Macaca fascicularis: one gene and its partner. The protein of the gene in region 2 binds, or shares a complex with, the protein of the main gene of each other region. Links are inferred from orthologs where the notes say so. Each region holds a gene or a part of one and is shown on either strand. Other genes may lie near its edges.

Evidence for each region.
Region 1: the proteins of WDPCP (region 2) and INTU are in contact, whole or in part, in a cryo-EM structure (PDB 7Q3E), measured with the Mus musculus proteins. The link is inferred for Macaca fascicularis from reciprocal best matches to the Homo sapiens genes WDPCP and INTU. Residues at the interface, in NP_663400.2 of Mus musculus: Phe3, Cys4, Leu5, Ile24, Leu51, Ser54, Arg55, Asp56, Lys93, Leu385, Ala386, Glu387, Asp388, Tyr389, Ile427, Lys446, Leu447, Gly448, Ile449, Leu450, Thr451, Arg452, Gly453, Leu455, Leu462, Gln463, Ile465, His466, Tyr467, Gln487; in NP_780724.3 of Mus musculus: Val481, Gln484, Val488, Asp491, Ser495, Asp496, Glu498, Ala499, Ala500, Asp501, Ser506, Glu507, Asp508, Arg513, Arg514, Thr517, Ser532, His533, Leu534, Pro535, His574, Tyr593, Glu610, Gly613, Cys614, Ala615, Ser616, Lys617, Ser653, Pro654.

Annotation. Positions count from the first base shown.
Region 1 is NC_088379.1:132,729,261-132,732,779, reverse strand, and holds part of INTU (protein inturned), read right to left. Parts: intron 3,436-3,519; coding exon 3,278-3,435; intron 1,051-3,277; coding exon 939-1,050; 3' UTR 1-938. UniProt on the Homo sapiens protein: Plays a key role in ciliogenesis and embryonic development.
Region 2 is NC_088387.1:58,502,292-58,505,810, forward strand, and holds part of WDPCP (WD repeat-containing and planar cell polarity effector protein fritz homolog), read left to right. Parts: intron 1-2,022; coding exon 2,023-2,156; intron 2,157-3,519. UniProt on the Homo sapiens protein: Probable effector of the planar cell polarity signaling pathway which regulates the septin cytoskeleton in both ciliogenesis and collective cell movements.

The DNA.
Region 1 (3,519 bases), on a different chromosome or scaffold from region 2:
AATAGACTGGATAAAGCAAATGTGGTACATATACACCATGGAATACTATGCAGCCACAAAAGGGAATGAGATCATGTCCTTTGCAGGGACATGGATGAAGCTGGAAGCCATTATCCTCAGCAAACTAACGCAGGAACAGAAAACCAAACAATGTAGGTTCTCACTTGTAAGTGGGAGCTCACCATGAGAACACATGGACAAAGGGAGGGGAACCATACACACCGGGGCCTATTGTGGGGGTAGGGAGAGTATTAGGGAAAATAGCTAATGCATGCTAGGCTTAATACCTAGGTGACAGGTTGATAGGTGGAGCAAACCGACATGGCACACGTTTACCTATGTAACAAACCAGCACATCCTGCACATGTACCAGAACTAAAACTAAAACTAAAACAAAATAAAAGCACATTTTACTTAAGAGGAACTTTTGAAACCTCAATGCAATCATCTCATTTTACATGAAAACTCTGAGCTTAGAGAGGTACAAAAACTTGCTCATGGTCATAGCACTACTTAGCTACAGCACCTGGTCACCTCCTCCCAATCATAATTGTTTCACCAGATATCAGTATGAATTTTGAGAAAAATAAACAAATTGGATAGTTTTCAGGAGTAAACGTTTCCTATATTAATCTTATATGAAAAACTTCACATTATTTCAAACTAGTCAATAAATTAACATTATATATCAAAATAGCAATAAGTTAACAATCCCTTCTTTCACATTTTGATCAAGTATATTCTCAAAAGTCTTACAATATTACATTAAGATTTAACATACCAAATCCAACAGCATTTCATATCAATATTTAACAATACTATGTTCAATATTGAAAAGTAAAAAGAAACTAAATTTTAACTCTTTTTGTATTGATTTCAGCAATTCTGACAGTGTTTAATCCTCTATGCATGTATTTCTACACATCAAGAAAGCACGGCTACAAGGTTAACCCAAAGAACAATTTAAAAGCTATTTCAATGGCAATTTCTGTGACTGAGTCATGAAAACAGACATAAAGTTCTTGAGGTTTTGGATGAAGAAAAAGTCTCCTGCAGAAGAAAAGAACACACTCATTTCAGAAATTAAAACAACAACAACAAAAACTCTAACTGTCCAATTTATTTTTTGTTTCTGAAAGTATCAGTAGTAAATTTAAAATCCACAAATCTAAATCTATACTAGGGAGAAAGCAGCTAGATTTATTTCTAAATAAATAATATATGCCTTAGGACAATTAGTTTTTATTGCTCTGGAGTGTAATAATCCTATTTTATCAATATGTATTACAATACCACCAAGTTTTTAAATAGTAAATCTAGTTATTACAATAAAGGCAATAGCACTAGCATCATAGGCACAATAGTTATTAAATATTTTATTGCTCTTTACTTTCTAACATTTAATTTTTATTAAAACATTAAATATATGGTAGCTTTTTTTGGCAAACAGAACTGAATTGGAATTAACATTGAAATTTTATTTGATTTTCTTAAAGAGTCAAAATTTGAATCTATTTAATCAATATTAATTTATATAAACTGATCTATTTAAACTGGAGATAATTCTGCCTGATTTTCTTAAATTTCTGTTCTGCATAAATCTGCATTATCATAATTCAATATCTTTTGATTCTTTCTATTCCTATAGTCATGAACGTAGTTAACACTCCACTGAACAGCTACATGTGTGCCTAACTGGTCTTCTCATTTCTAGTCTCTCTCATATGCACATCATTCCATTGGCTGCTCCCAGTTTAATCTTCCAGTAGTACAACTACATGGAATTAAGCTTACACTGATGTTCCCAAGCCTGGTTCATATGATAATCACAAGGGAGCTTACTAAAAATACAGATTCCCACTCTCATAGATTTTGATTTAGTAGATCTGGGGCCCAGGCATCTCAGATTTTAACAAGTGACCCAGGTGATTCTAAATCCCATGGACCAGCATATGGGAATTTCTGCTTTGGATAATGTCTGTAAAGTGTGTATCATACAGCTTAATACTACCTGGTACATGTCCACTACCCCTACTCCCAACTAATTCTGTGCCCTTTCCTCCACCAACCTTTACTCCAACTCAAAGAACCTTCTGCAGTGGTCCTAACTTAGGTTCCCAACTTCATCTTTCACTTAATCTTTGTATATGTCATTCCTCTACCATCCTGGCAAACCAGTCTGCTCACTGCTGTGCTGTATAATTTCCATTGTTTGGGTCTTTGTTCATTAGATTTTGCCCCCTCCTCAGAATTCCTATAGCATTTGGTTGTATCACCTAATTCATTTTACATATATGTATATACAACACACACATATATAGGATTTCTCTCTATATCTATATAATATAGATATATAAATATATAGATATTTGAGCATATTTCATAATTCTTTTGCTAGATATAAGGCCCGTAGAGGCAATGACTATGTCTCTGTGTTTGCCATACCGCCCACTGACCACCAACCCCACCACCAGTTCCACATTTTGCCAGGAACAGTCTCACCTACTCAACCATCACATATTTATCAAGTGACTATATTATGTGCCAGGTACTGTTGCAGGTGCCAGTGGTGGACAAGACAGATACAATTCCTGACCTCATGAAGCTGCCACTGTAATGAGGGTGGGAGGTGGAGAAGGACAAGAAAATAAACAATAAAAGAGTGATATAGAGAATAACTGAGTAGCCACTTTGATGAGGAAAAGAGATCATGGATCCTCTCTGACAAGATGACCTACCTGTTAGCACTGGTCTGAATACCAAGGATGCAGAAGTGCAAAGGTCAAGGGATAGAATATCCCACGCAGAAGGAACAGCAGAAACAAGATTTGATTGGTACTCATGCAGCTGGTGCACAGCAGACAGAAGAGGAAGGAAGACAGGAGATGGAAACAAAGGTGGGCAGGGTCCTGATTGGGCATGGTCTTGTGGCACAGGGCAGAGAGAGGGGAAGGGAAGAAAAGGGAAAGGATGGAAAGAGGGAAAGAAAGGAGAGAGGAGGAAGAAATGAACGAAGCAGGGGAAAAAGGGAAGAGGAGAAAAACTGTGGAATTATTCTTTCAGTGTATTACTAAAATTTAATTTTGTAAGGTAATTTTTAATAGAAAAATACTTGGAAGGGATTTAAAAGAGATACTTAGCAAATAAAATAAAATATATTAAAATATTATAGCTAGATTAAAAATTCCGTGCCTACATTTTAAAATGTTAATCTCCTTTATCAATTTTCTTTCACTTTTCTAACACTTTACTTTCAAATACTTTTTTTCCCACTTACCCTACTACCCAGTAGGCCATAACTGGTGGTGCTTTTTTCTGATCAGTCCAGTTTCCAGGTGAACATTCAAACAACACACCATGTTCTTTAACAGGGTTAAGAGAAGACACCGACTTTGTGGAATCTGAACGGTCTCTACTATTTAGTCCTTGCTTTTTCTGTAAATTAATAAGTATTGTTAGTATTAACTGGTATTACTAGTGTTACTTTAAAATGTTTTCACAGATTAATTTGAATTGGCT
Region 2 (3,519 bases):
TCAAGTGTTAAGCTTATGTTCTGAGTTGTTTTTTACTTTTTCCTTAAAAGAAGTGAGCATTGTTTTCAAAATAGGGTTTTGTTTTCATTCTTTCAAAGTTAGTTCTCTATAACTGGTACTTCAAGTATATATTTCATTTCCAAATGAATTTTGAATAAATAACACAAATATACCAACACAGCCACCAGTAAACAATTGATGCTTTGGCTCTCATAGGAAGATTCCTTGTTACTAAAATCTTATGAATACTAACTTTTGAGAGATTTTGGGCTATATTTTCTAAATAATAAAGATCAATGCCTAATATACTGGATAATCAGGTCCTATTAAGTGACATCACAATCAGTCTGTAATTGGTACAAAGCACATAAGAAAAAGATATTAAGCCAGTTATTGAATAGGAAGGATACTGATATTTATTGAGCCAAAAGGCTCTGTATGCTGGGTTCCTAACCTACCTATTTAATACAAGAAAACAATTGTATAAGGTATAGTTGTTTCCATTTTTACACATAAGGAAACTGAAGCTGAGCTACTAAGGAACATGTCCAGAGTTATATAGCTAGAAAGTGACTGAGATGAGATTTGAATACAGGTTCTGGCTGCGAAGCCCATTTTCTTTTCACTATACCGTGCTGACTCCTGAATTTTTAAAGATTATATTCTTTTTTTCAAGGTAAAAAGGTTGAGAAACATTGTATTATCATGATAGATTGAAAATGGTCAGTATCTTAAATTTAGTAATCAAAGGAAGTATGTCCTAGTGGAAAGGACAGAGGTGAGAATAAAGAAATCTTCCGTCTGCTGTGTTCTCTCACTAGCTACCTCTGAATAAATCAGACAATCACGTCATCGTGAAGAAAAGAACTCTGCAGGATGGCCATAATTAGCAACATTACTGATAGTAATAAGCTGGGGGTAGGATTGTAAGCATGCCATTTCCCCTTCCTTACAGGAGTAAGGTGCTGAGGAAGCTTCCCTGTAGAAGAGGTTCCATTTCCATATGTCTAATTATTGACCCCTTCATTGGTACTGCAAATAAAATACTGGCTCTGATGATTTTGTTATATTGATGCTCCTCAATGAGAAATAAAAGGAGACTTTTCAGCACAATTTGTGTCTCTGAGTTATCCCTTTTCACGTATTTCTTTTATTTGTACCCAAAATAATACACTCTCATGGGAACGTGGTAACAATGTGATTTCTTGGCAGTTCTCCAGATTCTCTTGTAATTGTGTAGATCCACTATTGGTCACTGTTTGCATGGTCAGGGGTGTGAAAGTAAAGGAAAATGTATAAAACATTTAATAATTTCTTTATGCTAGGAACAATGCAAAGCATTTCTCAAATTCCTGTAACATATTTTTATCAATAATTTTATGTAACATCAATAGCCCTTTATATAATCCACAAATATTAGTTATTTACCTACTTGTATGCTTAATGACAAAGCTATAGAAATTGCTAATTTTCATTATTAAATATTAATTTATGTAATGTACATATTGGGTATAATATGCTTTATTTCATCCAGCTTGTATACCCCTAAAAGAAGATTCACTGATGAAAATTTTTTAAATAAAGAGACTGGTTGAGAACACTGATCAGTATCCCCTAATAAATCCACTTTATCCTCAGATGGTTTCTATCATATAAACATAGGATTAAAGTCTTAGCACAAATAAAATGGAATGTTTTCATCTCTACATTCAGGTGTGAAATAGTTTTTTAAAAATATCTTTATAGCCCTGGTTCTAAATACATCTCATCCAGTGGTGGTCCCCAAACATCAGTGTATATTGAAATAGTCACAGGAAAAAAAAATCATACATGATTAGATTGATAATTATTGTTTATTCCTAATATCTTTAATATTTTTATAAAATGCTATAATGATATTCAGGAGACTTTAGTGATTTCAATTAATATGTATGTTTGAAAATAGCTTTTTGTAACATTTCAGTGGAAAAAATCTATCCATTATTTTATTCTAACTTGGTATTATCTAATTATGGTTTTTAGCTCTTCTCACAGACAGTTTTATCATCTTATCATTTTTGGCACAAAACAAGCTATGTTTTATTCAGTTTACCAAGAAGATGGATTCTTCTGATGTAAACAAAAGACTGGAAAAACTCTCAGCCTTGGATTATAAGGTAGATATTTTGATTTATATAGTCATATTATTAATTATTAAGGTATATGAAAGTATCTCATAAGCTGGTATTCTGCTCATTATTCTTAAACATTCTGGATTTCAGAAACACTGGAAATATTACAGGATTAAGCTTAATTAACTGCAAACAGTGGCCATTCTAAGTTTTCTTTTATACTCTCACTATGGGGGGATGTCTAACAATGGCATGTTTGGAGCAATTTATATAGTATTTATAGACGTCAAAGACAGATAATAGAGGCAAGTTACACTTTGAAAATGGTTTTTGTACTAGTGGTAGTATATATATTCTCATTTTCCCGTAAGACCCCATATCATCTTTCTAGGGTAGGATAGCTGCTCTGGTTTCCACTTCACAAGAAAAGAAAGAAAGAAGAAGGCACTTTCAAAGGTTAATAGAAAAGTGTAATAAATAAGGAGGGGGAAGAACCCTCCCCTTCCAACTATAACTGGACAAAATGCAAAAAGAAATCTCCTTCATGTGTTAGTATCTCTCCCTTCACTAACTCCAGGTAATTTGTTTCCTTCCTGTATCAGGGGCTTTACATCTGTTAAGGCAGAATTCTTATTTTAAGTGATGTGTTTAAGTTTTGCCACATTACATTTTAACTGCTGGGAAGGCATATTCTCTGCTAGGATGAGTATCTAATACATTTTCCAGGCTGTTTCAGTTCAAGGCCTCTTTTCAGCAATGACTTGTGTTTGCAAGATTGATCCAACCTCTGTGATGTGGATTTGAGACAGTTCACTGTTCACTGGGAACAGAGCTGATACACAGCTTCCTTAAAAAAGATGCACACTTATGCCATACCTGGAGCATCTACAGCAAGAGCAAAGAGTTTGAGAAGCTACCTCTGTAGCTTGAAATGTGTGTGTGTTTTTGGCAAACTAGTATTTAACCTAACCCTTTGCCCTTTGGGATTATTACTTATGAATGAGGTGGTGGTAGTGTGGGAGGATTTAGTTTTATTTAGTAGAAACATTTATTCTGAAAAAAAGATTTTTAATGTAGAATAAAATAAATGAGTTTTTCATTGTGGTAATAAACTACCATCTAGTTTTGTTTGCCAGCTTTGCGAAACTTCTGTAAAACCTTAATATAGATTTTTTAAAACTGGAAATTAGTGCTACTTATTATATGTGGTTAGCCAAAACAAAAATAGTATTAGCATTTTTAAAAGGATGTTAGTTCTAGAACGGCTAACTCCAGATTTACTTGAAATACTGTTTACTTACTAAAATTGATCGGTCGTTAAAATGCACCAGTGTGTGCATTAACTCAAACTATTTAAAGTAACTGTATATAAAATTTTGAATGACTAGTTTCTTTATCTTAGGTGTGA